Schizosaccharomyces pombe: one gene and its partners. The protein of the gene in region 4 purifies or fractionates together with the protein of the main gene of each other region. This does not show direct contact. Each region holds a gene or a part of one and is shown on either strand. Other genes may lie near its edges. The genes, in order: taf3, taf11, taf7 and taf4.

What was found.
Region 1: the proteins of taf4 (region 4) and taf3 purify together in Schizosaccharomyces pombe (affinity purification with mass spectrometry, with the first as the bait; one study listed by BioGRID). This does not show direct contact.
Region 2: the proteins of taf4 (region 4) and taf11 purify together in Schizosaccharomyces pombe (affinity purification with mass spectrometry, with the first as the bait; one study listed by BioGRID). This does not show direct contact.
Region 3: the proteins of taf4 (region 4) and taf7 purify together in Schizosaccharomyces pombe (affinity purification with mass spectrometry, with the first as the bait; one study listed by BioGRID). This does not show direct contact.

Annotation. Positions count from the first base shown.
Region 1 is NC_003424.3:2,587,003-2,594,560, reverse strand, and holds taf3 (transcription factor TFIID complex subunit Taf3), read right to left. Parts: upstream 4,334-7,558; 5' UTR 4,249-4,333; coding exon 3,781-4,248; downstream 1-3,780. Other genes in the region: ATP-dependent RNA helicase Rrp3, read left to right, coding at 517-1,914; pga3 (GPI-phospholipase A2 activity regulator), read right to left, coding at 2,153-3,148; SNARE protein Tlg2, read left to right, coding at 4,741-5,233, 5,286-5,698; serine/threonine protein kinase Ppk15, read right to left, coding at 7,155-7,558. UniProt on the Schizosaccharomyces pombe protein: Functions as a component of the DNA-binding general transcription factor complex TFIID. Binding of TFIID to a promoter (with or without TATA element) is the initial step in pre-initiation complex (PIC) formation.
Region 2 is NC_003424.3:1,803,046-1,811,010, forward strand, and holds taf11 (transcription factor TFIID complex subunit Taf11), read right to left. Parts: upstream 1,414-7,965; 5' UTR 1,328-1,413; coding exon 728-1,327; 3' UTR 579-727; downstream 1-578. Other genes in the region: histone demethylase Jmj2, read right to left, coding at 1,605-3,752; bouquet formation protein Bqt2, read right to left, coding at 4,225-4,357, 4,438-4,597, 4,673-4,736; SPOM_SPAC1002.07C (N-acetyltransferase Ats1), read right to left, coding at 5,197-5,331, 5,383-5,493, 5,585-5,615, 5,662-5,696, 5,755-5,873, 6,121-6,196; RNA polymerase-specificity factor Mtf1, read right to left, coding at 6,978-7,965.
Region 3 is NC_003424.3:2,171,910-2,180,449, forward strand, and holds taf7 (transcription factor TFIID complex subunit Taf7), read right to left. Parts: upstream 1,879-8,540; 5' UTR 1,844-1,878; coding exon 1,516-1,843; exon of another isoform or gene 1,475-1,515; coding exon 621-1,474; 3' UTR 501-620; downstream 1-500. Other genes in the region: mismatch repair ATPase msh1, read right to left, coding at 1-186; glycerol dehydrogenase Gld1, read right to left, coding at 3,099-4,451; vta1 (Vts1 family protein), read right to left, coding at 5,673-6,446, 6,784-6,978, 7,111-7,208, 7,471-7,573; mpd1 (thioredoxin family protein), read left to right, coding at 8,163-8,540. UniProt on the Schizosaccharomyces pombe protein: TAFs are components of the transcription factor IID (TFIID) complex that are essential for mediating regulation of RNA polymerase transcription. Also involved in the transport of mRNA from the nucleus to the cytoplasm.
Region 4 is NC_003424.3:881,006-889,712, reverse strand, and holds taf4 (transcription factor TFIID complex subunit Taf4), read right to left. Parts: upstream 5,331-8,707; 5' UTR 5,269-5,330; coding exon 4,171-5,268; 3' UTR 3,819-4,170; downstream 1-3,818. Other genes in the region: htr12 (serine protease), read left to right, coding at 1-583; proteasome regulatory subunit Rpn6, read right to left, coding at 680-1,686, 1,732-1,814, 1,877-2,052; SWI/SNF and RSC complex subunit Ssr3, read left to right, coding at 2,541-3,818; ubiquitin hydrolase Ubp7, read left to right, coding at 6,063-8,690. UniProt on the Schizosaccharomyces pombe protein: Functions as a component of the DNA-binding general transcription factor complex TFIID. Binding of TFIID to a promoter (with or without TATA element) is the initial step in pre-initiation complex (PIC) formation.

The DNA of each region.
Region 1 (7,558 bases), 1.7 Mb from region 4:
TTTTTTTCCATGATAAGTTATTTGATTACGTATCGGTATTTTATTTTTTTGTTTCTTTACAATATTTCCAAAGTTCCAGAATTGAAATTATTGATGTAATATGAAGTATCAAATCTCTTAGTTTAACTCTTTGGAATTGAAAAACATTTCATACTTTAATCACATCGAATGTCTTCACAAGTTAATTTTATTAATTTCTTACATCTGTTATGAAGCTTTTTGATGTTTACAATGTTAATAAGACACTGCTTTAAGATAATGTTATTCTCACATCGCAAAAACATTTAAGGAAGCCTAGAGTATTCATTAAAAATTACAAACAGTTAATGCGACAAGCTTGAAAAAAACCACCAGTTTCCAAATTGGTGCTCGGTTTCGCTAATTTTTTCTTTCCTAATTACTTTTTCGAAGTTTTAGTAAATAACTTTCATTGATCATTAAATCTACAAATTACAGCTGTTGTGCTTGAACAACTGCTAATTATTTCTTTTTGGTGTCCGCAAAAGTTTTTATACAATGGCACCTTCTGAGAAAAAACTTACTGAGGATAAAAAAAATTCCTCATTGAATAAAAAGATTGAAACATCTAATTCAAGCTCTGAAAAATCTTCGGAAAATAATAATGGTGACTCACAAAACAACGAAGCCCCTAAAACTTTTAAGGAATTAGGAGTAATTGACGAATTATGCGAAGCTTGTGAAAAACTGGGATTTAAAACTCCAACTCCGATTCAACAAGAAGCCATTCCAGTTGTATTGAATAAACGAGATGTTATAGGTCTAGCTCAAACTGGTAGTGGTAAAACTGCAGCATTTGCGCTGCCTGTCATTCAAGAATTGTGGAACAATCCGAGCCCATTTTTTGCAGTCGTGCTTGCTCCAACTCGAGAACTTGCCTATCAAATATCTGAACAATTCGAGGCTATAGGAGGTAGTATCGGCGTTCGCAGTGTTGTAATTGTTGGTGGTATGGATATGGTAACTCAAGCAGTCGCTTTATCAAAAAAGCCTCATGTCCTAGTTTGTACACCCGGACGTCTGATGGATCATTTGGAGAACACGAAAGGTTTTAGTTTAAAGAATTTGAAATATTTAATCATGGATGAAGCCGATCGTCTTCTTGATATGGATTTTGGTCCAATTATTGATAAAATTCTTAAAATTATTCCTCATGAAAGACGTACTTTGTTATTTTCTGCTACTATGACTAGCAAGGTTGAAAAGCTTCAGCGTGCATCCCTTCACCAACCCGTGCGTGTTGCTGTATCTTCCAAGTTTAGTACCGTCGATACCCTAATACAACGGTATTTGTTTTTTCCATTTAAACACAAGGACACGTATCTCGTTTACTTGGTAAATGAACTTGCCGGCAATTCAATTATCATATTCGCTCGTACAGTAAACGATACTCAACGGTTGGCCATATTATTACGTACCTTAGGATTTTCTGCTATTCCTTTACATGGACAGTTGTCTCAAAGTAATCGTCTTGGGGCTTTAAATAAATTTAAGTCAGGTGCGAGATCTACTCTTGTTGCAACTGATGTCGCTGCCAGAGGTCTAGATATACCTCTTGTTGATGTAGTAATTAATTACGACATTCCTACCGACTCAAAGGCATATATTCATAGAGTTGGTCGTACCGCTCGAGCAGGTCGGGCAGGTAAATCTATTGCATTGGTTACTCAGTATGATTTAGAACCTTTTCTTCGAATTGAAGCTACAATTGGCAAAAAAATGCAGGAATATGAAATTGACAAGGAGGGTGTATTTCTTTTATCTGAACGTGTTGGAGAAGCTCAACGTGAAGCTATTATTCAAATGAAGGAGATTCACGATAGGAGAAAATCAAAGGGAAAATTGCACACGAAGCGCAAACGTGATGATCTTGATCGTGAAGAACAAATCTATTAATAAATAGAGCGGAAAAAGGGTTATTGTATTTATAAAATATAAATATTACTAAATTCTATAGATGAAAGGCAAAATTTTTGGGAAAAAACTAGGTCTTTAAAACCTACTGTTAGGGAAGTGGTTTTGAATTAATTAATAATAACAATACTTTAAAACGAGGAAAGCCAAAAAGGGAATAATCATTAAGATATGTGTACAGAAAAAGCTTGTAGTTCTTAATAGAGAAAAGATAAAATAATCATCGACTGCTATCATAGGCTTTAATTTTAAAGGTTCCTTTGGTTAGATCATATGAGCATTTCCTAACTACAAACCCATACAAGTAATGGGTAATTGGAACAGTGGACAAGTGCCAAAGAGCATGAGCATCTATAAGATTTGCAATAGGGCTGAAGTCAAAGAGTTCCAAGCTTGTAGCCAACATTAGACTAGTAACAATGTACGCTGGCCATCTAGTCCAGTAAAGTCCAGAATTTCGATTTGACCAGGAGTAGTAATACCACAGTATATTTTGGACTAAACCTACTGCGACGTTTGCTTTCATATTATAACCATAATCGAAGGAATAAAAAGAAAGATAACTTACATGGGCAATAAAGGCAGCTATGAAGATAACGCCTATTATCCAACACAAAAGTTTTCCCCCCGGTAATTGATCCAGTCTCAGCATCAATATTAAGGTACAATAAGAACCAAAAAGAACAAAAGCGCCGGCAGAGAAATAATCGAGTTTTTCGGTAATAGGCGTATCACGAATGTGAAATACACTGCTCCAAACCCAAGCATTCATTCCTACAATAGCCCAGCTTAAGCACAATCGCTTAGCTGGATGCTCATCTGGAATACACCTGCGCATTATATGGTAACCATTGTAATGGATCATAAAGTTGAGCATTGAAAAGAAGACACTGAAAAGCTCTTGAATACCAAAAACTCGTATAAAGTACCATTTTCCATGGTATTGTTGCGAAGGTAAATTATGAGCGGCAAAATAATTTTCCGCAGTTATTTCACATTCATATCCGCAGTTACTACCGCAATCCCATCGAAAGAGCTTCAAGTCCAGCGGAAGTTTTGACGTATCTGATGGGTTTCCGTGACATTTATTTTCGATGCACCTATTTACACAAGAAACGTATACGGGATGTAGGTCTCCTGCACTAGCTGAAATCTGCCGGAAAAGGCTTAATGCAGTGAAAAGAAAAAAGATTGTAAAGTTCCTCAAAACTCTCATAACAATAGAATAAATAGTATACCAAAAACGAAAAGTTTATAATCAGGTTCTTCAGGTAACAGCTAGTACATGGAGGTCATGGACAGGAGTGCTTTGAGCACAGACCGGTTGAATAGATATATTCACCCATAAGGAGTAACAATGTAACTCGACGTTCTCAACAAAATAAATCTAAATGAATGAATTGCTTATTTCAAGCTTGTTTAAACAAATTTCATCACTTAAAATTGTAGAGAAAACGGTGGATATCACTCACAAAAAATGCCTTTTTTTTTTGAAAATCGCGTTGTTAGTTAAAATGCCAGGAAGATGTAAGACACTCGGCAGCTCTGGCATAACAATTTAGAAAAATAAATAAGAATAATGATTAATTTTAACCAGCTTGACTTGTATGAATCTTTAGCAATCGAATAAGACTTCACGTACGACACATGTATAGCGAATCTAAATAGTCATCTTATAGGCATAACAAGTGATAAACGATCAGTAAAGTAATAAACTAATTCTGCAAGAAATAAAAGAAAATTTTAGTTTAATCCTGAAACAATTAAACTAATAACCTTTTTATGCGACGCCATTAGAACGCCTTCTAGATAAACATGGGATCAACTTGAACTTAGCAGAAGGCTTTGTTAACTATCTTTGACGTCTTCTTCTTCGTTAGAAGCAGAAAATACAGTCTCATAAAATCTTTCAGGGCCGCTGACACGAATCTGTTTTTGAATTAAGCTTGTAAGCCAGTCTTTAGGTTTGACTTGCGTTTCACTGTCTTGAACAAATCCAGATACCCGACGAAGTTCCGCAACCTGTGGACCATTAAACCATTCTACTAACGTTTTAACATCTTCTTCAGAGCCATTTAACAAACCAATTTCTTCCATTGCAAGACGCAGATCGCCCAAATCGCAACAGCTCCTCCTGCCAACTTCAGCTTTTGCCATAGCGGTTTCTGAAAGAAGTCTAATATACCGGATAGTAATATCAGTAAAAGAGTTTAATAATGAAACCTTCGTTCGGTCAATGCCAGCTGCGCGAAGTGTCTGAGAACAGAAAATCCTCATTAGCGAGAAATACAGCTCGTCAATTTGTGTTTCTTCCATCTCCGATAACTAGATAAATCGAACGATAGACTTATTAAAAGTCAAGTAATGTCTATACCAGCTCACAGTATAGTTTTTATGTTGCAGGGGACTTCCAACCTTTAAAGCTAGCTCATGGAATTGAATAAAGTGGAGACACAGCGCCTCGTTAGTCTTGCATAATGATACATACTACAAATTTTAAATAGATTTAATGGTTCACACAACATCGATATTGTATTTGTAAATTATCACATCGATTGAGACCCATTGAGCACAAAAACTCAAGTATCAATTTAATTACAAACCAAGTGTTTAAGAAGCCTTTATGCTGGAAATAAGACTGAAGTCGTCACAATAGAAACTGAGTTTGAATACTGAAATAATTTCATTTATTTCTCACGCTGGGAAGAACCACTATAAAAAAGGTGTTTTCGAAATTAGTGTGCCTACAGGTGGAAAACAGTTTTATTACTTACTCTACTATATTTCTTTCTTCCTGTTTCTTATCTAATGGCCTATCGAGACCGTACGGGTTTGTACATTACTTTTCGACAATCCTACTCTCATCATGGGCAACGATTGGAATTGTCGGGTTGGGACCCTAAAGAAGAACGGCAGAGTTTAGTCCATAAAGATAATAAAGATAACACTGTAATAGAGATGGACATGCTTGCCCCTAGATGGGTAACAGTTGAAGGAGAAATAGACAGTCTGCTGTTAAATACACGAAGAAATATTAATTTGCTTGATAAGCAATATGCTAAACATGTATTACCTAGCTTTTCCGACAAAACTGAGCAAGAGAATGAAATACAGAGATTAACCATTCAAATTACACAAGATTTCCAAAGGTGTCAGAAGCTTCTCCAAGTTACCAAAGCTCAAACAAACTCTGCAACAGGCTCAGAAGCTCTAATGGCTAAAAATTTCTTATCAAATTTAGCTAGCAGAATCCAAACTGAAAGTGCACAGTTTAGAAAAAAGCAATCTACTTATTTGAAGAGTATGTTATCCCGCGTTCTCCTTAACAAATGTACTGACCCCAAATTTTTTAGAACTTCGTGGTTTAAACGCCAACATATCTCCTGTAGAGTCAAAGCTCGACGAGACGGTATCCGACGTTGCAATTTCACAATCTACTATACAACAAGTTGCCTTAATGGAAGAACAAGGAGAAGACGAACAAGCTATACGACATGAAAGAGCTGTTGCCAAGATCGCTGAAGGCATTATTGAGCTAGCGCAGATGTTTCAAGACTTACAAGTGCTTGTTATTGAACAAGGAGCATTAGTAGATCGTATTGATTTCAATATTGAACAAACACAGGTTCATGCAAAATCTGCCGAAAAGGAGTTAATAAAAGCGGAGTCTCACCAAAAAAATACCGGGCGGCTTCGGTTTATATGTTTTCTAATACTTCTGATCGTTGCTTTAATTGTCATTTTGGCAATTAAACTGCTTCGGTAATTCATTTACCCTATTTCACTTTAATACCATGCTGCTAGTCATGAATGACCAATTTAATATTTTCTACGAAAAAGAAGGTTTTCTTTTTTTAATTTATGCTTAAATAAATCAGGTTTGTTTCTTTCTTTATTAAAAGACAACAGTTTTACATACAGATTAAATTTATGTACAATAAAACATCATTTTTTATAGTGAAATGATTAATAAAAATTTTCCCAAATCCAATAATGATACAATTTAGTTCACTTATTCTGTGAGTTCGCAGACGGTCTAGCTCTTGGAAGATGTTTTTTCTCTTTCTGAGCGCGTCTTCTTCTCTTTTTCTCAATGTATTTATCCAAAGCCTTTGTCCCTTCCATAGATTTATATTTATCCATCTGTATTAACTTCTTTTGTTCGTTCCTTTTCAAATAAAACGGTTTCTTCCCTTCTTTAACCCTTTCTTTTTCTTGAGCACGGAATTCATGCATGACACGTTCGGCCCTTTCCTCCTCGAGATGTCTCTCCATCTTAGAAAGTAAAGACTTTAAAGTTTGTCGAATACTCTCCGCCCGTTCTTGATCTTTGCAAATCTTCAATTCATCTCTTAATTGCTGGATTTCCGATACTCGGTATTCATTCAAAAAGCCGTAATTTTTTTTCACTTTATCTTTACTTAAGTTTCCCGATAAAGAGTCAAATCTGGGATCACGAGTAAATTTTTTTGGTTCAGATATTACTTCGCGAAAACGAGAAACTGGTTTTTTACTTGACAATTCTTGAGGGGCGTGTTTCTTTCTTTCGCCAAAAATTTTTTGTCAACTTTCTCAGTATGTTTCATATTTTTTCTGTCATTATCTTTGTTTTTTGCTGTTCTTTAAGCAGGTCCCTTTGAGCATTCAACAATGTATCAAACGGAATCTCAGCTAACTCTTCAAATTTGTGAGTAAATATTAATTAAGAAAATAAAAGAATTTTTAACATACGACTTTTAGCTGTTTTTGATTCGTTGTTTGAGTCTTCATCGTCTTCTGAATCTTCATTATTAAAGTTTTCAAATTCTTCTTCTGAGACCAATTCTTCGTCGCTATCTAGATCATCTTCGTAAACACCCGCATTAGCAAGAGTCCCATTTTCAAGTGAACTTGATTTCATTTTGGCGATTTGTGAATGTCTACTACATAAAAGTATAAAACCTCTCTACATAGAGTATTTACCGTAGCGCTAAATATAGCGTTAAATTTGTAAATGCTTTATACTATTTACTATTGAAAACTGCATATTGAAGCCTCGAAGGAACTTTGAAAATATTCGTAGTATGTATATATCATCAAAAGTTTGAATGCTTTATGAAAATTGAAAACGTTTTACGAAAGCTATTAGAAAATTGGTACAACATAAAAAAAAAATTTGGAATGGATCATGCCTATTAAATATTTTAAATAAATTTGAATGTTTCTATACGTAAAATATGACATTAGAAAAATTCATCTACATTTTCGTTCTCATTAGCGGGAGGATAATATTGAGGCAGCGGTCGAGTATGTACAAATTCTTCAGGTTCGTTGGAAACATAAGTGCTTGCACGCTGTAAGGAAGGAGGAACCACCGCTTGATTTCCAATAGTATGAGAACGGTTCCTCGTTCTTTGAGTTGTAAGCAGTGGTTTTTGTTTGTCAATGCAGTATTGACTGAAAGAGGCACCTGTGATAAAAGGATGATTTTTCGCCTGGTCAGGAGTCCATCTCTTCAAAGGATTTAACTCTAAAAACTGCTTTATGAAATCGATGAAACAAAGTCTCTCTTCATGTTCTTCAGGAGTAAGCTTAGGTGTGGTTTTTCGGCGAGGATAATTTAAAACAATAGCATCGAGTGTCTTTT
Region 2 (7,965 bases), 920 kb from region 4:
CATCTACTCCAGATAGACTGTTGTTGAGCAAGTCCAATGTATGACAACTTTTACCAGGCTATTCCCATACCAAGTAACATTGCTACTTAAAATAAGAGGTATGGTTAAAGAAAAAAAAAGGACTCATTAGAGACTACTTTATTGTATAGGAGTATAATGAAAAATATAAAACTGAATATCGTGAAGGATGGTTCAAACATTGCTGAGAATTACATCGCTATCGAGGTATAAACAAGCACAATTGTCAATAAAACAGCTTGAAAGATAAATATAAATGAGAAAGAAAGTATTTCAAACACGAAAAAATATAACGTTCATACCATTATTATTATTTTGCTGTACTTTCAGCAGTAGATTTTATTACGAAATATGCTTGGACAACAGCAATTAACATATTACTAATTACAAAGAGCAACAGCAAATGGCCTTTAGAAACATTCAATAAAGAAAGATCCATTAAATTTATATTAACATTCTGTAATTTTATCAACTATATTGTTCATTAACATACAGTTGTGACATATCACTAGCAATTGTTTGGCAGTTGTAGCTGGACAAAATAAAAATAATGTACAAATGATAGGGGTAATTTGTCTTCATTTTAATGTATGAAAAATGTAAATCCCTAACCCATGCTTTTAAAGAATAAGGCATATCATGAAAAAATTAGAAGGGAAGAAAAACCGGTGATAGATACACTAAGAGCCTAGGTATGTGTTTTCTAAATTCACCGAAACAAATGACTAACATGACGGCTCTGTGGATAAAGCCTCCGATTTTGACGTGATAATCTATACGCCTCTCGTAAATGATCAGGACTCAGTGGACCAGTATCCCCCCATTGATCTTGAATCTTTCGAGCTAATTCAACGATTTCTCCAACAAACACCTTTGAAAATCCTGAGATCACAATAGCAACATTGGGGGTTACACTTTGGTTTAAAATTTGGTTAGCCAATTTTTTAACATTGGTTTTATTTAAGTTAGCACGACGAAACACTTCGTATCTTTGCATTTGCTCTTCATCAAAACTCTCTAGAAGATATTTTGTGCGCAATTTTTCATTAGCTTCGTCGTCCGTTTCACCAGGTTTTCCAGCAACTTTTGAAATAGCAGCTGTACCAAAGTCATCCCTATCGTCTTCTTCCAGATCATTTTCTTCTTGCCGATTCCAATTCTCTTTTTCTTTTGATGAGGGAGCAGGCTCAGCAGCAGGCGATGCCGTATTTGCCTTTGCATGAGCTCCTGCTGTAGGAGAATTAGATTGATCGTAGCTCATCGATCGCTGAAATCGAGGTACTGAACTCGCAGAACCAGTTCGTTTCATATTTATCCCTTCTATCTTCAAAAAACTGAAGAGCTCTAAATGTTTAAAAATTGGGTTTGATTTTGTTATGCAAAGTGAGAATGTACAAGAAGTAAATTTCACAGGTTGGAAACTGCTTCATACATAAGCAAGTACACTACGCTTCCTTAAACGTACAATACTATGATTATAGTCAAATTGTTTACATTACATGAATCCAACGATGTTTGTAAATGACCTTGAAAATATAGGTTTATAAATTGCAAAATAATTGTTTTAGAAAAGAATAAATGTAACTTTAATAACTTAGCAACTTCTGTAACTCATTATCGTCGACTTTTAGGCGTAAGGTCTTATTGCTTAAATCGCACTTGCAAAGATATTCGATGTGTAATGGACATACAGTAATCGACTTGCAAGAACAAGCAACTTGAGAGAAGTATGAAAATGCTTTGCAATGCTGGCATTGCCAATTTTCGGCATCCTCCATTAATTCACGATAAAGTATTTCCTTTAAATCATAGCGTCCTCGTATCATGATACGTATACCTAATTCACGTTTGACAGCCTCATGCACCCAAGGCCTTAGCTCAGACACACTTATCTCTGACGCCGGATTTGTCGCTAAATTGTAAACCAACATATCATGTGAAAGTACAGGAGGTTTAAGAAGTGACTGATATTTCAAAACGCCATTCAAAGAGAATCCGTTTAGTAACCAATCTTTGGGAGCAAAATTCACTGCCTCATTAATGTTAAACCCATGATTAATTCCTGCGTGAAAGCTTTTTGGAAAGGTAATCACGAATTCATTAGGCCCCTGGTCGATGAAATAAACATCGACACCTCTTTTTTGTAGCTCATCAGGGTTGATCATTGTAGCTAATTGGTAAAGCAGATCTTTTTGTTTTTTTACCAAATCAGGAGCAATATCAAGAGCGGCGCGTTCAAACCTCTCGGCTTGATCACCTGGAATTCCATACCATAATTTTGTGTCTCCATAATGTTGATAATTTACGGAATAAGTATAGTTATCCTCGACATGCCAACAAAAAGTTGAAAAACACATTCCAACGTACAGCCACGGACAGGTTATACCTGAAACAGGATTATCTATATAGCTTAATAGAGAACCATTTGTGGATGCTATAACATTTAAATTCCATGTGTCCTTAGAGTAAGGATTCACTGGATTTTTGGCTAAACTAGGGAAGGCGCTGCCCTGATCAAGGGTTGATAAATCTGCACCGTATTCCACTTCAAGGCTTGTATTATTGTCTTTTACGAGTTTCCAATACTCTTTTTCAACAATATCCTCAGTTATCTCCGAGTCTTTAAATTTAGAAAAATAATTTTTCTTAAAATTGTCACAGTATTTTTCAAAGTTCGATAAAGTATAATAATTCCCTGTTTCAAACCCAAACTCATATGGATTAATTATACATTTAGTACAATACGCTTCTTTACACGTATCTTCGACTTCACAATTGACAGGTTTGTGACAATTGTCACATAAGTGGTTGTTATTCGTTGACAGAGAGCTCAATCGTCGCTTTTTATTATGTGAGTGATTATCATTTGATCCAAAATTATCGGCTGGCATATATTGTTGTTTAATCTGCTCATTTCTCTTGGATTCTTGGTTTTGAAGAATTCCTACGGACTCATTAGTTTCGGGGTTAAATTGTTTAGATGTCTTCTGATCTTTAATACTAATATTAGAATGTTCGTCTTTTGTAAAAAATTTAGGGAAGAGATCAGTTTCAAAGCATTGATCCTCAGAGGTCTGATATTTTCTGACGAAATCCTCAAATGGAAAAATATACCTTAAATACAAGTCACTTGCTTCCTTTAATGATGCATTAGTAAAAGGAATTGAAAGTTCTCGTAAAATCCTTTTCCATACATGAACTTTTAATTCCTTCTCACTTAGAGATGCATGAGAATCAATACAACGCATTAAGCTGTATAAGTCGATAGACGTATTGGAAATAAAAAATGATTCCGGGAGCTCCATGCCCAGATTGCAAAAAAAACGGTAAACGCGTTCATCGTAAGAGACTATTTCACGAAATCGAAGATCCATCATATGCAAATCCTGCCGCCGAGTACGGAAGGAAAACTTGTTCATGTCAAGTTGCATCGGTGGATTCCAACCAGCAGGAGGAACGATTTTTATGATACCATATTTTTCACCGATTGGAGCTATCTTATTAATATAACCGATAGAGTCCTGAAATTCCTCTTTATCAGGATAAAAAACGGGAGCAACTGGAAGTCCATGAATGGATTTGGAACGCTGTTTTCTTTGTCCGGTATTTTTTGACATAGAGGATAAGTTATTTCCCCGCGTATTCATCCCATGAGGTGCAGGTTTTAGTTTATCTGTAGCATGAGTGTATTGTACAAAAGATGGGGAAGTTTGATGAAAAGTAGACTTGCTCATGTTTCCTATGCAAATAAGTAGATAAATTAGTCCGAATGGTGAGCGATTCCAGAAAAAAAAAGTTATTATAAAAAGAATTAAAAAATAGAGAATAAAAAAGAAACGAAACGTAAATGAGAAATAATAAATGGAAACAACAGTTTTTAAACTCGGACTTAGATGAAGTAAGTTTTTTATGTTTATGCAATGTATACTTGTTCAATTGTCCATTGAAAAGACGTAAGTGTCTTTATGGGATATAAATAAAGAAATTAGGTAAAATTCGAAAATAATCTTAGGCTAATAGCATAAATAGGCATTAAATTAATATTCGTAACGTATGGTTAAGTGAAGGTTGTGACAACTTCAGTTGACGATTTTGAGAGCTAAAGGAACGATCATTAAATTATAAAGGATAGAAAAAGGAAAGGTATTTTTCACAATTAGCATAGAATTTACAATCGGAACAACGCCATATCAGCACCAAAGCATTTCAAGGTAATTCACCGTTTAGAAAAGAAAGCGTGGATGGCAGAGGCTGTAGATACACTGAACGTATTCTGTGATCAACATATAAAGGTTCCATCACGTTCAAATGAATGACAGGTTCAGAAACGTAACTTTTGCTAATAATGGTGGTTAGTACTTGCCTTGGTAAATGATAAGATAAACTATCAATGCAATATTTAGTAAATTTAATAAATACCTTCTGGAAACAGCTACTTGCTCCGCAATCCACCAAGGAGAACGACATTGAACTGATTTGTAATTTGGCAAGCGGACGTGCTTTCTTAGATGCATTGAAAATGCATAATCAAAATTTTCATAACCTTCTGCTAAAAATTTCGCTTCTCCGTTGTGTAATTCTATCTTTAGTAAGAACAACTGAACCATAAATCATTCGACAACAAACAAGTGCACATCAAACCTTTAAAACTTACGCCATAAAGCAATTAATGCAGAAGGTACGGTTTCATCAAAAAAGGCGCACTTTCCTTGAAACATTGACAGGCAAACTGTTGTAGGTAGTTGGTTTGTTTACAATTGCGCGCGACGCGTTTCGAAAAAGAAACACAATAAAAGATATTCAAGAATACTAACCAATACTTTCTTTCTATTTTTTAATACACAATAAGAAGCCGATTTGATGAATTGAAAGGAAAACGATCAAATTAGTTTTATAGGAATTAACATTAGAACAATATACCAGTTCTAATAATTTACTTTGCAAAAAAAAGGATTCTTTATTTTTTAATTTTAAAAAATGTAAGATGTAAATTGATATCGTATTTTTTGGTAAACGGGAAATAACCTAAAGACATTGAAATGACCGCTTTAAAACGAAACTACAAGATCCAGGATCTTTCAATCATAAAAAATTAATTTTCCTCTTTCCAGTTCAAGGTTTCAAAGGTATAACATATCATGCTTCAATTTTTTAGAGCGTTAAGTATTGGGTATGAGTTTAAAAGTTGCCGGGAAGTTTATCAGCAAGAGCCTTTAGGTTCTCGCCGGTGACTCTCATCATACTCCATCCTCCAACTTTTTGTGCTCCAGCCTTTTCATAGACTTCAATGGCTCTCTGGTTCCAATCAAGGACCTAGGGTATTAGTCAAGGTATAAAAAAAGAAATGGGTTATAAACAACTTACAACCCAGTCAAGACGTCTGCCACCAATTCTAAGTGATTCTCGTGCTAAATAAGACAGTAAGTAGCTTCCATATCCTTTTCCACGGAATTGGGGTCGAACATATAAGTCCTCCTAAGAAATTGAATGGTTAAAATCTTGCTATGAAATCAAAAGTTAATCCTTCAATAAAAAGGTTATGAAGGACAATATGATAAGAACATACTAAATAAATCCCCACTCTGCTAGTCCACGTGCTATTCAACGTCAGCTCATATATTTCAAAACGGAACTTTTCACTACCTAAAATTTAGGAAATATATAGCCATTCCTGCGGGCTGATGGCAATTATAGATTAGTAAAAAAGATCAAGCAAGTTTACTTTTTTTTACGAACCTGATCATTTTCTTCGATGAATACTCCATATGCCACAGGAGTAACCTCGTCAATAAATCCAAATGCAACTTCTAAATTCGGAATTGTCGCTTCCACTTGATCTTCACATTTTTCAAATTCTTCATAAACAAAATGTTAAAACCGGTTTTTAAATAGTAACACAAACTGATCTGATAGCATGCGGACAGAAGTAGAGATCGACCCTGCTGACGAAAACCATATATTCTCAAATCCATATAAAAAGCTTAAGAGTAATCTCCAATTCAATAAGAGAATCAGACCCTGTGAGTCTGGGATACTGGCAAAAGCTCTAGCCTTTTAATAGAATCTACACGACTTCGTCCTCTTGGTCATAACGGCGCTTACCTGCCAATTCTTTAATAAACTGATAAACGGTCGGAAGATCTTCTTTAATGACAGAGCGAATGCGAACTGAACCCATGTTTTGAATTAATTGGTTTACTTGGTGTGCAGTGCTAACAGTAAATAATATGCGTGGCCTAATGGTAGTTTATTGTCTAGCGCACTTTAAACTGATGAGATCTCATCATATTATTTTTGGAATGCCAAATACGGGTAGAAACTAATCTAGTATGTTCCATTTACCTTTTTATGTTTGGGAATGAATAATCCGCTTTTCTACTGAACGATTATTAAATACTACCTTGAAAGCTAAAGCAACTCATAATAATGAAACATTAATTCAGTAAACAATTTAATAAACAGCATGGTATAATAAAGAATATTATAATAGTTTTTCGAAGTTATGGTATTTGTATTAATTAACATCTAAAAAAGTTGAAAGATGTAAACTTCCATTTAAAATAGCTCAGTTAAATCCATATTGCATTTATGCACTTTCCAAAAAAAAAATGATACCTGAGACTATGAGAGACATAAAAGAACGTAAAACAAGCCTGAACGGAAGCTATCCACTTAAATTGAATAAATTAGTAATAGATTAAGCAAGCATAAGTTATTTTAAATATGGTGATTAGAATGAACGCGTGTCTCAACGCAAACAAATCCTTTAATGATGTAGCGAATATGGCACAGGCAAATAAATGAAATACAGTGGCCTCAGAACGCAATGAGTAGAACATGAAGTGGAGAAATGATAAAAAAGAGAGTGGTTTTAAAAAACCAAAATTACTGGATGCAAAGAAATGCGTGTATGAACAAAAACAATCAATACGTTTGTTTCCCCCAATTTTCTGTAAATTTTATGAATCTTCAATTATTGTACCCAAATGTAAATGATGTTTGAAAGGATATTTTTGTATAATTTTTGAAATGGTAAGAAAGTCGGCTGCACTCAATAGTCCAACGGGCATATCGATGTTAATCCCACATTGGGTGAAGGAGGGTAATAGAGTTTCCGCACCTGGGCCTAAATAATAAATGGATTTTGAAAGTGATGTTGCTTTACATGTCAACAGTATCCTAACAATGCTTTCAAACACTGGAATAGACAATTGTTTATCTTGTGGTTTGGAGCACATTTCAACCAAAGTAAGGTCCTCTTTATGCGGTTCACTAGTAATTGGCGTGGGTGAAACTAATAAAGGATTTGGAGAAATTTGATAATTCTCCTTGGCCTCTTTACTATACCCCATACATAATTTTTGCAATGTTGACTCGGAGGCAGCTAATACACGAGAGTCTGTAAAGGCCTCTCGGAAAACTGATGTCTTGGATCTTTTTGAAAATCCCCTACTTCCAAGAAGAGTAACAGTAGGAGAACAGGGCAACCATAGCAATACACGAACTCTTCCAAAAATGCCAAGCCAATCCCTTGCCGAGAGAAAGTCTAAAATTTGAGAAACAAATAATAACCCGGCATAACCATGAGGAAGATGAGCAAAAAATAAAAGTTCGCGATGTGGTGATAACTTCTGCTCCTCTTCTGTTTGAATACGAGGATCCAAAACCTTCGAAACGTACACATCTTCGTAAGTTTGCCAATAATAACCATCTTGATGCACCCACTTAATCCTTCCATCAGAAAGCGTACACAATTTTTGTAAAGGTTTGGAAAAAACTTCCCGTGATTCTAGCACAACGTGACTTTTAGGTTGGAAGTAATTGAACAGCGAAGTGGTAGTCACTCCCGGTCCCGGTGCCATTTCTAAAATAGTCATTTTCTCCGAGTTGTATTCCTTAAGCAGATTGCTTTTCACAAGCGCTTCATCCATCAAATTCTGATTCACA
Region 3 (8,540 bases), 1.3 Mb from region 4:
AGGAGGTAGAGTTACTTTTTCCTTCGGTCTAATAAAATCTAACGGAGGTCCTAACGCGCCTTGTAAAATTGGCTTTTGGCCGACTTTGGGGGATTTACTAGAATTTCGAATTTGAGTAAACGGTACCCAGGTTTTAGTGAAAGAAGATTTACTTCTTAATGAAAAAATATACCTCCATGTCGGCATAATTTTCAGGTTACCGAATGGAAGGGTTTTTTTGTAGAGTTAGCAAAAGTTTATGTTACTATAAGCGACAATGAATGCATCATTGTCAAGTTGAAGAAATAGTAATCTTCAAGTATATAAATTTATTTATGAGCATATAAATGTATATTAATAAATATATGTATACGTTTAAATAGAATTGCTTATGCAGAAAAATGATTGTTGTAATAAAGTTCGGTACACTTCATTAACAAAACTAATTCTGGCTATCAGTGTCTAAAATACTTAATATGCAATTTACAATCTACTATATAAAATATAAATATATGTATATATATCCAAACCATAACCGATGTTCATTATTATTGTAGCTGATATGCAAAAGGTAAAACGTATAGAAATAAATGCTTTTTTCTTTAAAAAAAAATGTAAAAAGATGTAACTACGCAACACATTTATTCAGGGTTATCGACAAGTTGAGTACGTTTTAACTCTAACTCGGTCACCATACGATTAACGTCTGCAAGGAAACGATTTCGTAGAATGGGATTAGTTGCTTCATCGGCATCCTTTCTACGTTTTTGAATAGAAGACTCCAACTCTGAAATAAACTCACGAACAAGTCTATTTTGTCGTTTATTTTCGCGAGTCTCATCGTCAGCTTCATTTTCCTCTTCTTCTTCTTCTTCCTCCTCTTCTTCTTCTTCACTAGCAGATTCTTCACCTGCGGCACGAGGTTCTGCTGTTGACTCCCGAGTATCTTGACTAAGCTCAAGCATACCCTGTTCAATCTGTCCAGCCAAATCGTCCTCATCCATACCATCAAACATATCAGTTTGCACGCTTTGGTCGTCCCGATCGATGCTGGTACCACGAAGTCCTGCCATTCCATCAAACGATGTATCCTCTGAAAGAGCGATGCTTGAGTCACGAGCCAATTGTGCTTGATCAATCAACTCATTCGATGTACTTTCAGCGCGTTCATCCATTGCAAGCAATCGGTCAACCTCATTTTCAACTGCTTCGATTGTTCTGTTCGAAACACGTTTTCGAAATCGCTTCTGCCGCACCCAATGCATTGGCGTCGTCAATCCATGTGGATAAATGTAATCAGCTTGCTTTAACTGAGTATTGAGAACAGAATTTTCGTGCTCGATTCTTTCTGTAGCTATCAACATTTGACAGATGTCAGCAGCCTTGAAGATAACTTTTTTGTCGAATGATTTATTAGATTCTATGATGCATGGCAAATCAACTAACTTCGCAGCGTACAAATGACCATTAACATGAACAACCGCTCTTCTTTGATCTAACTCTGTTAATAATAATATAGTGTAACCAAGTCATTACCTTTGAACTTCACCCATATGTCTGCACCTCGTCCCACTTCCCTATTTTCAATTGCTTTTCGAACATACTCACAATCTTCACCAGGAGGAAGACGTAATATAATTTGTTCTTCAATATAAGTGTCTTCTTCTCTGTCAGAAGCTTCTGAATCATATCCTAAGCCAGGTTCGCGAACTCTTTTTAACCGAATTTTTGTCAATCGAGGGCCTTTAGGTTCACGTGTCTTGATCTTAATTTTAGGAATTGGGGGAGGAGGACCAGTGGCTGGAGTGCTAGATCGTGAATCATTTGGAGGAGGCTGAACAGCACGAATTTTTAGCTTAACCATTTTCGAAAACCGCCTTTTGAGTAATTGTCGTTGGCAAACGCTCGATTAGCAAGTCGCTAAACCTTCAAGTGAGTCTCGTTATCTACTACTAACGAGCCATAGTGATTTACAACATTTTTTTAATACAATCGTTATCTGCAAACACCTGTCAGCTACGCAGTTTGGTATCTATTTAACGATTCATAGAACTGCGGTGAGTTTCTCTTGCGACCTACAGTATAGCGGTATGTGGTATGTTTAACTAACAATGTATATTTGTTACTATAAGAAGTCCATTAGTATCGATCACCGACATAGCTAAACTACTGAACTGAGGAACAAGGTTCGGCAGTAGCCCTATTTATAGTATTCAGATAATAAAAATATTAATAGATTATTATTAAGGTCAATCTCAATACTGTTTCATACAACGATGAATGATTAGGACATGTGTCATATAGTGATACTCAACGTAGTGTATCCTTGAGTAATGTATTGTTGACAACACTACTTATTTATCCCACAGTAAACAATGTAAATAAAGCGCGAAATTGTTGATCGATGCAAAGGTTAAGGTAAAAAGGGTTTTCAATGTAGCTAGGAATCCGGGATTTACTCACTTATTATACCATTTGTAGCATACTAATCATATTGAGTTAGCATATAATATAATAACAACGAATGTTTGACAAGGCCACTAGCGACAATTGTATAATACGTGAAAACAAATCACTTTAGTTATTTAAAGTTTTCTAACATAGGAACATTATTAATTGTAATTACATTTAAAACTTTTGAAATCTATCACAATAAAAAGCGATTGCAAAAAAAAAAAAAAAAAAAGGAAGCAACACAGATGATGTGCATTGTAACAAATAGATCAATTACGGTGAACAACTTTAATACAATACAACTAACAACGATAAAACATTCATTTGAAAAGGGGAACAATTTTTTTCATTCGTAACAAAAATAAAGCAAATTATTCATGAAGTTATAAGGGGCGTAAAAAACTTTGGAGTAGGCCGAAAAGGTTGATCATTAAATCACTAGATTAACGGGAAAAGCTTACAACTTTTTTAAAAAAATAAAAAAAAGGAAGAAAGAAAAAAGGTAAAAAAAGTTCCAAGAGGAAAGGAAGCACACGAAATAAAAGACTACTATAGAAAAAAAAACACTCAGGACATTAATGATCAATGAAGAAAACCCGCTTAAAAATTTCTTTTCTTCTTTTGGATTTACTAGGGAAAATTGAAGCTGGGGATAAAAATAATGCCTATGGATGAATGTCGGTCAAGTGAGGACTATGACGAGAAGGGGGTAATCTAAAACGCTCGGTCCATCCAGTTTGTTCTTGCCATTTTTGTGAATAGGAGTCAACGGCTTTAATAGCGTCAGCAATTTGAGATGGATTGAACTTCTTTGACATGTTGTGAATACTCTCATCAGGTCGCAAAGTAGCTCTACCTACCATCAATAACTCTTCATCGGTTACGTTGGGAATACCAAGTTCCTCAAGGGTAATGGGAAGATGACATTTTGCCATAAAAGAAGCAAGATTATTGAAGTCTTCCAACGGCCAATCCTCCAAAACAACTTGAACTAAGGTACCGTAAGCAACCTTTTCACCATGCATTAAACGATGAACGGGACCGTGGATGGCGGTCATACCGTTATGGATGGCATGAGCAGCAGCAAGACCACCGTTTTCAAAGCCTAGACCAGACATCAATGTGTTGGCCTCGACCACGTTCTCAAATGCCTCGGTACAAACACCGCGAGTGTTGGAAAGAATAGCGCTCAGGGCATACTTTTCAAGAGTGTCTTTGCAAGCACGGGCAATGTAACGGCCAGCAATGGAGGCCACACCTCCGGCAAAGGAAGTGGAATTTGAGCGAATAACGGATTCAGTTTCCACCCAGGTGGACAAAGCATCACCAATGCCACTAATAAGGAAGCGGACGGGAGCGCGAACAATCACATCGGTATCGATGAAAATGAGGTTGGGATTAAGGGGGTAAAAGCTGTATTTTTGGAATTGACCGTCAGGAGTGTAAATGACGGAAAGAGAGGAAGTAGCGGCATCAGAGGAGGCAGTAGTAGGACAAATGATGGATGGAAGATTCATGGAATGAGCAATATACTTTGCGGAATCCATGGTTTTACCACCACCAACTCCAATGATGACTTGAGTATCATCAGGGCACTGTTTGCGAAGTTTATCCAGTTCCACCAAGCTTGCCTCGCCGCCAAAGACCAGTTTGGTGACAGTCATTCCGTTTTGAGAAAGAGAATCGACAATTTTATTGGCACAAATGTTCCATACGTTCTGGTCGGCAAGCACGACAGCTGATTTAGTGGCCCATTTTTTGACATACATATAGGATCTAGTGAAGGCATGACGACCCTGAACATACTTTTGAGGAGAGGTGAAAATGCGATCTTTGGATTCTTCAAACTCTACACCAACTTTGTGAGGCGTCTCCGTTTCAATAGGAGCATAAAAGCGTTTGCCCCAACGTTGTGCAACGGCATTGGAAGAGGCGAGCGCAAATACTTTAGAGTTCCTGTGGGCGAGGGAAACGAGAGGGAAGCGAGGGGTTGCAGCGCAAAGACGAGGACCAATCATTATGAAGGAAGTTCAAAGACTAGCTAAGCGTTACGAATAGAAATCGAATCAAATCGAAGAAAAGAGAAATACAAGAATAGGCGTGTGGAACGGTTCTTACCTTTCTTGAAATTTATTTCGATACAGAAGAATCCTTATTTAAAAAGAAAAAGGAAATAGGTAAAGAAGCACAAGTAACTAAGAAGGAGAGAAACGCAATGGAACAGAGGTCCAAAAAGAAAAAACAACTATATGTGTATATATATACTTGTTTGCGGAATCAATAGACAGTCGAAAGATCACGAAAGTTCCAAGAATGAACGGGATATATGATCTCGGCTGGCCAAAAAAAAAGGGATCGACGTAGTCAATGGTGATTGTCAAAACTAGAATCAGCCGATCGACGGTAAACGGGAAGAGTAGGAAGAATGAAAAGAGAAAAAATATTTAAAAATTAAAGCAACGAAAGTTGATTAAAAAAATAATTAAAGAAAAGAAAAAAAAACCCAAGTGGTAGTGAAAACTTGCTATGGTTTTATTTTACAATGGAAAAAGCAATTCTGTTAAAAAAAGAAGAGAAGAGAAGAGGTGGATGGATGGATGGATGGATGGGGGAAATATGGAAAACTGCGAAAGCAATAACCAAGAGCAAAGAATTCAGCGCTGCCCCTCTACATATAAACTTGATGAGAGGGCGATGACACCACACATATCCACCGCAATTGCCAGTTCCCCACTGCGGAAGCCAAACCCAAGCAGACAGGAAAATAACGTAACAAAAGATGAGGCAGGATAAACCCATGACTCGTTGGTCTCATAACTGCGTCATAGGGGCAAGAAAGACAACGTGGTATGCAGTACAAGACAAAAGCTTACTTGCTGAAAATCTGGGGAAATATATACAACAGCAGTCATTCGCCAGTTCCTTAATAAACGCTCGCTAAAATGACGCGACAAAAAATGAGGAGACAGGGATGAGCAGTGCCACTCAACGGCGAGGGAAAATGGGAAGAGTGGAGAGAAAGGCGGGGTCCTGCTACAATTAGAAAGCATTTGAAGAAAAAAAAGTGGATAAAAAAAAAACAAACAAATAAACAAACATTAAGAGAGACGAATAGTGGGGAGAGTGGTACAATTAGATTGTTTCTCCCCAAGATGGATAGATAATTTTACTGGTATCTGCCCCACCTTTTCCCATTGTCTCATTGAGATCCCCTCCATTCCAGCCCCAGCATTCTTCCTCTAGTCTGCAGTATGATTTCCCTGCTCCTCTTCCTCCAAAAGTTTTAGTGCCGACTTTAGATGATGAATGGCTGTCGTTGTGTCTTCGTAGTCTAATGCACTGTATGCATAGCGTGCATGACTTCGAGCAGATTGGATAGCCTCCAAGGCGGAAAACTTGTTCAAGGGGGAGGCTTTAGTCGGTTGAGATGGCCTTGATAGAGGGGCATTTGTTCTTGTTGTGGCTAAAGTTGACTTGCTGGAAAATGCTACTGACGGATCGATGGAGGTGGAGGTGGTGGTGATTGACGTAGGGGAGGGAGGCCGATGCCCATCTGATGTTTGCTTTGACTCAGGAGATAAACTTTGGATATGCGAGGAAGAGCGAGTGGAACGAGTAGGATCTATTGTTGGCAAATTTTCGGTTATTGATGTAGTTGAGGGGAACGTGGTAGGCTCATATGAATGGGAAGGTGAATTTAGTTGTGGAGCAGCCGGTGTTGAAGACAACGATTTTACGTCTGCTTCTACATTAGGCTCGGAAGATACGGCTGCAGACTTTGTAGGAGAGATGGAGAGCGATGCTGCTGGAGATGTAGTGGGGAGAGCAAAAGATGTTTCATGAGAAGCAGAGGCATTCGTTTCAACGGCGGCTTCTTGCGTAGGTAGGGTTGTGGAATTTGTGGAAGATTGCTGTAACTCCTCGGTCGCGTGGTTTGAGGGTGTTTTGGCCTTTCGTTGGGGATTTGCGACTTGGAGCGCACGTAACTTGCAAAATTTGATTGACTTGGTAATCTACGTAGCAATAGGGGTTAGTAGGGAACAAAAAATCGTTATAAGCATCATAAAGCATCGTTGTATAATACAAACGAGAGAGAAAAATACCGATAGGAAGGAAATCCTCAGAATGGCAAAAGAAGAAACGAGTCGAAAAAAAAAACACATGGTAATGTGAATTGGAAAAGACGATTTTGTTTTTGACAAAACAAAAATAAAAAATAAAAAAATTTCCAAAGAACCTTCATTTTTTCATTTTTGTTGATCGTGGTTTTCTTTTTTTTTTCTCCTAAGTTCTGCTCGTTACTCTTTTTCATTCCGTCTCACTTGCTCTCGCTGTTTTTGACTCACGTACCTGTTCCGTAGGTGGTCCCCAGATTCTCGACAACTCTAGAAAATCTCGGGCTGCCAAATACGCTTGCACATCTGGTTTCCCGTTTTTGCTATTTCTTTCGGCCTGGACAAGAACTTCTAGGGAAAACGATTCAACATACGCCTTTGCACTAGTCTCGTCACTCACATTCTCATTCTCGCCCAAATTTTTACGTAACTACACACGCCATAGAGCGGTTAGTACCACAGAAACATTTACATAGTTGGTCTCGTAATCCAAAAAAAAAAAAAAAGAGAAAAAACCCTCGCCAACATTTAAAAAAAGGAAAAGGATGTTTTCTAAACTTACATCTTCTAAATGCTCAATGAGTGACAGCAGGAAATCCTTGCATTCGTTGGAAACACCGTGTGAGCTGGAAAGCGCCATTTGAGCTGCCCAGTATAGACCTAGTAATAGTACAAGTTAGTGAATCAAGCAAATGAATATCTCGAATGATGAAACAAATTCCTTTGTGCTTATAATAGGGTGTATTATGGAAAGTAGTATTCCCTCTAGCGAAATGTAGACTATGAAAACTTCATCAACGTAAACAAGAGAGAAAAAAGGTTTAAGTTATTTTTTTATTATTTTATATTTTTCTTTCTCCAATTTTTTTTTTCATACACCCTTCCATATTACAAATTCATCACTTAGCTACTAAACACTTACTCCAATAAGCTATGACAGGATTGTGTGCCTCAAGTTCATTGAATCGTCTCACAAACGGTTGAATGGATTGTAATTCCTTCGGTATAGTATCTATTTGTATCATATTTTGTCAAATATCTCTCCTTTCAAGTTTCTGTACTTTTGGTTTGACAGTTGGTGGATTACAGATACCAGCTACATGATATAAAAAGGTAGATGAAGGTTAGGTCTACTCAAGTATTAAAACCATCAAGTCAATTATTCAAAAAACTCTAGTACTAATAGTTTTGACGTACAAACACTTTCTTTTCATTTGAGGGGAATCAAGTCGCATCGTTTTCATCGTGCATTTTTTGTGCCCCGCTATTCAGATTTTTCTAGTGTCTTGACATACTCTACCTATTCTATATCAAAATGATGATTTCAATAAGCCTTATAACTCATTGATTGACTAAAACCTATTATTTCTTCTAAATTTTCTCGTGACATATGCTCACTCAAACCTCACACTAAAGTGGTTGTCGCCGTAAACCTCTCGATTTTTCCATTCACCAACTACTTCCCATTGCATCGATCATTTGTAGCTAGGACGTATTTCTTATTTCATTTTCGCCAAACGGTTTCTATTTTTTTTTATTTCTTCGATTTTCATTTTCCTTTCTTTCATTCACCTTACTACCCTTAAAAATACGCTGGACAAACTACACATCATTATGCTCTTCCGTATTCCAACTTTATTTACGCTCTTTTTGGCTTGCTTCAGCCTTGTATCCGGCGTCTTTGGCTACTCACCAATGTTTGGATCCAACACGATTGAGTTAAATTCCAAAAATTTTCGTAAATTTGTAAAAGCAAAGGGCCCATCTTTAGTTGTCTTTTATGCTCCGTGGTGTGGTTATTGCAAAAAGCTTGTACCTACTTACCAAAAATTAGCCAGCAATCTACATTCACTCTTGCCGGTTACTGCTGTCGATTGTGATGCTGATCAGAATAGGGCCGTTTGCTCTCAATACCAGGTACAGGGCTTTCCCACTATAAAGTTGGTTTATCCATCTTCCAAAGGATCTTCTCTTTCCTCTACTGATTACAAC
Region 4 (8,707 bases):
ATCGATAACTCGTATTCGAGACTTGCAAGTTGACGATGTCACAGAAGTCGATATGGAAATTCTTCGTGAAGGGAAGGTCCAAACGGTTAAAGTTCCTACATTCCCAAGCGATAATTGTGAAACAAATCGAGTGGTTATTTGTTGGGGTGCAACTTTGCAAGCGCCTCATCGTGCCGTTCGATTGCAAATTGAAGACCTTCCCTCTAATGTATTTGTCACAAATAGAGGACGAGGTTCACCAGCCGATCAATACGACCTTGGTGCTGCCCAATTTATTACGGCGGTAAATGGAGTGACTACACTTAATCTAGAAGATTTCGTTCGTGAAATTCGAAAAATAGATGATAACTCTTATGTCAGGGTGAGCACTTCGACTTTTGACAAAGTCCCAGTCGTTTTAACCATAAAGATGAACAAACATTACTTTCCAACCATAGATTTGGTCCAAGACGCTAAAGCCGAAAATGGTTGGCGTGCTGTACAATATGATGAAGTGGGCGAGAAAAAAAATCCCTCAATGGGTTTCACAATTGATGAAGAAGTCGATGACAACACTTTTGATACTGAAGGTGAACAACAATGAACAGTAGCCATCATCAATTACAACACTACTTTTACCGAAAGTATTTAGATTTAAAAATAATTTATTTATCCATTTTTATAGTTGAAAGACGTAAAATTAAAGTAATGCAGAAGCTTTATTTTCGATCAAAAGGTCAACAACAGTACCCATGTTCTTGATAACTTCTAAAGCAGCTTCGTAAGTTTTATCCTGTTGAGGTTCATCGTAAACAATTAGACATCCGCTACCCTGGTCAAGGATACCATAAAAAATTTTGTCTAAAATCATTTGGCTGAGCTTGCCTTCAACTTGAACAGTGGATAAACCTATAAGCTCCGCTATATGAGATACCTCAACACGACTAAATGGTTCGACAACACGAAGTAAGTTTTGCTCAAGCAAGTTATCATAGAGACTACTTAAATGAGATCTGATGATTGGATCGGAAGCCAGTTCAGGTTTATAGTCTTGCAAAGCCTTTTCAAAATCAGCCAGGGATCGATTTTCATGAGCCTGAGCAATCGCACGCATAGCTTCAATATCTCTACCAGCGTACCGAATTGCGTGCTTTCCTGTTAATAAAGATTTGACTTCGGAAACAGAATTAAGCATAATTTGAGATAACAACATGTATTTTAAAGATGAAAGGGCTTTTTTATCATCATCAAGCGACGTGAATCCCTCATAAGCCTCATAAAAGTATGAATAAGCAGTCTTGAAATCCATATCGTCAGCATGTAAAATACCACTTTGCAAATCTAAGTTCCCCTGAAGCATCGGAGGGCAATAAACAGCATTAGCAGAAGTTTTAGCAGCTGTTAATGAAGCACGAGCTTTTGGTATATTTCTAATTGCGTGATAAACTTTCGATTCCAACAAATGAACTTCGGTCAAAAGCATTTTGTCGTCCATTCGTTTGAGCTCTGACAAAAGAGTATTAATGAGATTGATGGCATCAGTGTAAGATGAGTTGTCATAATATAAGGAAATTAATTTCGTCTCTAAAGCTTGACGCAAAAATGTACGCTTTTCTTTAATAGCCCATTTGATACAATCGTTAGCAACTTCGATTTGTAAAGGCAAAGACTTCTTTTCGCCAGAGAATTTATCAATTAATGTTCGGACTAAAATGGTGTTAGGTTGTTAACACAATAGACATTGATACTTACCAATTTTAGCAGACTTGGCTTTCGAGAAGTTAGCCATCAGCGGACGACTTTGTTGAACCAACTGAGCCAAATCATTATGGCGACTAGAGAAATAAATGTTAGTTATCTTGAGGCATAACTGTTCCTTTATTTAGAATTTACATACTTTTCACGAACGTATAAATCGCTCAAGTTAGTGAGAGCTTGTTCCTGTTCATTCGCAACTTTTTCGTCTTTACTAACTCCTTTATTAAGAACTTCTTTATACAAATCAATCGCCTTTTCGATATCGTTGCTTTTTACTGCATTGTTTGCTAATTCAAGGCTAGATTTGCTAGACATGATGATGATGGTTATTTCAAAGTGCTTCCAGCATGGAATTATGCGAGAGATGAAGCTACTGCTGGATGGGTAACATTGTAACTTTATATTACAGCAAGTTAGTCAGGTGTGTATATGTATGTGTTTATACTCAAAGTAAAGTTAATAACTAATTATTATAGAAATGATTGTTTTTTTTTTAGTGAAAAATACGTTGATAAACTTGTTAGCGTCGTGAATGAGTGATCAGCAAAGCATCTTATGGTTTCGATATACTAACTGCTTTTATATCGACAACGCTCGAAAATCGAGATACAATTGAATAATTCATATACAAAAGAAATGATATGTAATTCCTAGTATTTCAGTTAACGGTGCTCAGCTGTTGGAAGCAGATAGATACTAAATGGTATTTGGGTCCACCACTTCACGTCCACCAAATATCGAAGATTATTGATCGGTTCGGATTGCCGCATATTTGAGAGGAGCTTGAATAAGGACAGCTTATCATGTCTAATAATAGCCGTTTACCAGAGAATGGTGTACAAAGCGGTAACGGAGAAGACGCAGAGTTGAAGAAGAGTATGAGAATTATTGAAAGAGAAATTCCAGACTCATTGCTTGAAAAAATCCCAGAAGCAGAAGATTATATTGCTCTTCAAGATTTAGAAAGAAAATTGGATTCATTAATCGTTCGGAAACGATTTGATTTACAGGATTCCTTAAGTCGAAACTCTCACAAAACCAGGATTCTTCGTATGTACATACATTCCACTGTTGCGAATCAATCATGGCAACAAAAGGGAGAAAATCAAGAGAATAATTCTGGCGACATTAACTCCCTTCCCATACCTGAATGGACTCTCCATATTGAAGGTAGACTACTCGTTAATCCTGACGACGAAGACGATAAAGCTTTTGAATTAGCACCTTTCACCAACTTTTTCCGTAAAATTGCTATCCAAATTTTACGATCAGATGATCTCTATCCTAGTGGTAATTATGTTGAATGGAATAAACTTCCGGATAACTCTAATACATCTAACGGCATTACCGTTACGAGAAAAGGCGACCAATCCGTAGATGTCAAAATTATGTTATACCCTGAAGAGCATCCTGAACGATATAAACTTTCAAAAGCCTTTGCTAATATACTGGGTATTCGTGAGGGCACTCGTCCTGACATCGTTAGCTACCTTTGGCAATACATCAAGTTCCATCGCTTGCAAGACATGGAGGAGAAAAGATTAATTAACTGTGATAAGGCATTAAGGGATTTATTTGAAGCAGATCGTCTTTACTTCCCTAGAATTCCTGAGCTTATGAATAGATTTCTCGAACCTATTGATCCCATTGTTATACCGTATACCATTAATGTCAGTGAACATACTGTTGAAAAAGTTACAATTTTTGATATCCGTATCAACACGGAAGATCCTAGGCACAGCCAAATTCGCTCTTTCCTTGCTACGATGATGTCGCAAGATAAAATCAGAAGTATTGACGATAAGCTTACCGAGTTAATTCAAGCTATCACTTACTCACAGTCGAAGTATGATTTCATGAAGAAATTTTCGGAGAGTCCAATTGAATTTATTAACGAATGGATTGAATCCCAGAGCCGAGATTTAGAAATCGTTTTGGATGGCACAAATATGAATTATGCAGAAAAAAGAAGTGCTGATTATTATCAACAACCCTGGGTACATGAGAGTGCATTTCATTATCTTAATTTACTAAATAGCAAAAAGCAGCAAAGCGTTTTAAATGCTTCTGCTAAGAAGTGATAGACTATTACTACGTTACCAGTAGAAAGCAACGGTATATTCCTGCGTGTGTCACAAACGTGTATATTATTTACAAATTAAAAAAAAATTACATATAACCAGAATAAAAAAAAGAGCTTATTCTTCGTTTCATTTAAGAAAAATACATCATAGGAAATCCAAAATTGATTTCGATAGAACAAAACATTGTATTCCGCCTGACTTGACCTAATGCAATTATCGTGTTTAAAAAGTCATCGGTTGTCCTGAACAATAATCCACTCAAATAGGAGGAAGGGGTTTTATAAATGAATCCCCGAGATAAATAAATGAGTTAGTCATAACTTTTTAAGGCCATATTAAATTCATAAGTTTAATCTTTTAGCCTAATGTAAGCACGCATCATTGCCTTAGCACCCCTACCAAAAATACGCCCAGCACCTTCTCTATCCATTTCAAGAACCGCTAATGCGTCCCTAATAGTAATTATACCTTTTTCTTCTTGTTGTAAGGGCAAAACACCATCACGGGAGGAGGGCTTAAGAGAATTAGAATCCTTTTTCCGAATACCAAATCCACCTCCAACTGCAGGAGTCATTGGAGTCATATCAGTTGCCATCCACGAGTACTTTTTACCACCGGATGGTAGTGCACTACCAGCCATGATGCTTGCAGTAGCGTTAGTCATTCTGTTTTGCGCATCTTCAGATATATTTTTTGCTGCAGCGGAAGAGCTTTGTTCTTTTCTACGTCGACTCGATCCTTCTTCATTAGTGGAAGCCGAATTAAGTTCAGCCAAACGAGCTTCATGCTCTGCTCTACGAATATTCAATACTGTACGTCTTCTCTCCTCACTTTCGTACTCCTTATAAGCAAAATTGGCAAGAGTCTGGCGCACGTTGTCAACTTGTTTGTAATTATCAGTATGCAACTGTGAAGTCCGGTGATGGCTTTCAACAATCATTTTTTGCAACAAATTTGCCAGATAATCACGGACTGCCATAGATATTAGAGCATGAATATCAGAATCCATGCTTTTTAAACGATGTAAGTTTACAATGTTGCTAACTGTTTGCATCAACACAAAAGAATTTAAGAAGTCTGACTTTCTTGAACGGTCTTCGGTAGTAAGCGCGAATGTATTTAGAGATGAAGGGTCATAAAAGGAAGTAGACAAATTCAATTCCTCTTCTTTTAATTGAATACCACATGAAATAAGAGCATCCTGAAGCTGATCTGCCTCTTGCCTGTCGCCGCCGCTTGCCACTCCAACGCTTGATGATACATTATTTGGTCGTGGAGATGCATAATGTAATTTTCCAGGCCCTGAATTAGGATTTTGGGTATAAGAAGGTTTTCGATTACCTAAATAACCTGGAATTTCTGGATACTCTTCATTTTTGGGGCGTTTGTTAGCAGGAATATCATCGTCATCTCCAAAGCGTTTTGAAGGAGGATTATTTAAATCCATGAAAGAATACTACTACAATAACTATGCTTAATATTGTATTAAAAATGTTGGTAGTTATCAATACGTTCTTTACTAGCAAGTTTAGGAACTTAAGATTAAACCCTTACCTTTCCCTATTACCGATTTATAACGAATACACTGTATTTTTTATTGGGCAAGGTAACGAGAGGCTCTTTAAGAGGCTTATATCGATCTTTATTTTCAAGATCGCTTTCGAGCTTGTAGCAGATAAACTTATACCCAACCTCTATTGTAATTCCAAGATTTCCATAAGCATAAATAGTACACTGATTCAATTGTGCGTGTAAACACTTGTTAAAAGAAATCAGTTCTTAATAGACTTGTCCATTGAAGTCTGATTAAAGGTTCAGGATAATCTTAACTATCGTCGGACAAAGTCTTCAAAACATCTTCAAATGTTTTTACATTTGTAAGAATATTGTTAGTGAAACATTCCTTTACCGGAAGCAACGCTTATAATTGTTGATTGTATTTTGATTGTTAAAGGCGACAATTGCAAATCCGCTAAATAAAAATAGCCTTTTTGCTAATTTTTGTGGGAGCAAATTCTATTTATTTCTGAAACTCATATTTTCTTTCCTATCTTTTGAATTTTTTGGCCCGTTCTGTTCGAACTTGCGGCCCATTGTTGTTGTTTCTCTAGAAAAAAAACAGGTTTCCTTCAGTATCCGCATTTCATTCTTTATTTTACTTTTTTCCTTGCATTAATTTATCCATTGATTTCCTCCTTGTTGATCGTCTTTTTTTTGTCCCGTTTTCATATATGCATTATAATGCCTCATTCTAACACTTTAATTGTGCCATCCACAAACCCATTTGATGATCCATCATCCATAAAGAATGGGCTTAACAATCTGACAAGTAGTGAATTAGTTAACCAAATGAAAAAGGAATCATTAGCTGCTAGTGTTAAAACCCCTTCAACACCACCCAAAGAATGTTCTCATTTGAAAAAAGGTGTTAAGCTGTCTCATCTCAAAGGTAATGCTCGTGCTCTTCGGGATCCGAGCAAACATTTGTGCTTTATATGCACCACGGAGAAAATAAAAAGGGAGGATTATGAACTAACACTTTGTGCTAATTGTGGCTACCTTTTCTGCTGCAATCATGAGTCTGATCATAGCCGAAAACATTTTGAAAAGAATAAGAAGCATTGCGTTTTTGTCAACATTATAACCTTGAAATGTCACTGTTACAGTTGTGATGCAGATATAGTTATTTTTGATAAAAAGAATTTAGTTGTGCGGGACGTTCAACAATTTATTTGCTCTAACTTGGTTTCATCGTTAACTAAGGCCCCCAACGTTTTAAAATCCAATTCGTCACACTTTAAAAAGGAAAAAAAGAGTAAGCATTCTTCTGGCAAAAGCTCGAAGAAATATAAAGTTATCAGTCCTGGTTTAAAAAATTTGGGTGCCACATGCTTTTTTAATTCGACTTTACAAGTCCTATGTGCTTGTGAGGCTTTACACGATGTGATTAGCCCGTTCCAATATTCCCACTCCTCAGTTATAGTGCGAAAGTTAACGAAATCTCCTGAATCTTCTCTTTTATCTGCATTCATTAAATTTTTGGAGACCTTTTATAAATCAGATGGCACTATCTCCGTATATCGTCCTACCACTTTTTTCGGAGAATTTCGAAGACTACATCCCCAGTTTTCCGAAAGCGTCCAGCAGGATGCTCACGAGCTTTTAAGGCTGTTATTGGACGATCTCATTTCTGAAGAATTTCGTGTACTGAGATTTAACCTTAATAGTGTATCACGTTCTCTTCAACTTAGTCCATGTTTGACAGATGATGAACAGCTTTCTAAATCGTTAACTTCGTTTAAACAAGTGAATGTTACAGATGCTTCTTTGTCGCCAAATTCACACAATACAAGTGATAACGAGCAGAACAACGAAGATTATGTTAGCGTTTCTTCATTAGTGGGTTCTGAGACCGAAGATATTACTTATTCGAAGGAGTTGTCGCAATCATCTGACTCTTCACAGCATCAGCATGACAGTTTCTTGCCTGCTAATTCATCGCCATTAGCGGCCTCGTCTACAAAATCCCTTCCATCGTCAGAACTTCTCGATTCCAGTTCAGACAAGGGACAACAAGTTTTTAAGGGTCAACATGAGGTCGCTGGTACCAATTCTTTTGAAGATCCTAATTCTCATTTCAATGTATCTAATAGTTCTAATCATGAGGAGGCTAGTCCTAAAAAAGAAGTTTTAAAATCTCCTCAATTTCAAAGGCGTTCACTAGACATACTACGGCTTGGTGAACTTTCTTCAGATGATATGATGCTTGATAAAGCTACTATGGATGAATTTTCTTCAAGCCTGGTGATCAAGTCAATTTTTACAGGCCGTTTAACGAGCGTTGTGATGTGCCAAAGTTGTAATGAAATTACTAACACTCCTGAACCTATTCAAGATTTATCCATACCTATTCATTACCCGTCTAGCCGCGTAAGTCGTCGTCATCGATTCCATCGTGCTCTCCGTTCACGATTTAGTCGTTCACCAAAAAAATCGTCTGTAAAGATAGTTGTTGACAATGCTAACGACGACACTGATCAAGCCCCGACTACTAATTCCTCTTCGTTAAATGAAAATTTACTTGGTGGGCATGCTAGTGAAAATGACAAGAGTTTGAAACAGTCTCCATTTCAAAAACTGACTCGAAGATTAAGTGATCTCTCTGTCAATTCTAGCGGGCAAATTTCGAAACAAGATTTTGATAATAGTAATTCAATTTTCTCAGAATCTTCACTATCAAGCCCAATAATAGAGGAGCCTAAGACACTTATTGATTGTCTCAAAAACTTTACTCATGTTGAGGAGTTAAGTGGTGAAAACATGTTTGCCTGCGAGAATTGCTGTAATCAACCTAACGAAGTTGGCTCTCCAGCTAAGGGAGGATTGACGTCGGATAACGATAAATATTCGTTTAATAACAGTGTTTATAGAAATGCTTACAAGCGGATGTTATTAGATGACCCTTTACCTCCTGTTTTTATTATCCATTTGAAGCGTTTTTTCCAGGAGATTTCCCACGATGGTTACGCCAATCCCAAAAAAATTTCCGATTTCATTGAGTTTGAACAAGAATTAGATTTAAACGAGTTCGTTATGCCACACCTACGTGCTTCAAGTAGTTTTAGATATCGACTTTTCGGGGTCATTGTGCACAGTGGCACCCTGAATTATGGTCATTATGTTGCTTACGTATTGTCTCATAAATTCTTAGACCTCAGTGCCCCTTCTACGAATTCTAAGGATTTCCGTTCTGAAGCTGGCATACCCGAGAGACGATGGCTTTACATTAGTGACAATATTGTACGCGAATCATCCTGGGACGAGGTTTCAAAAGTCGAAGCGTATATGCTATTCTATGAACGTGTTTAGACTTCTATTGCTTTAAA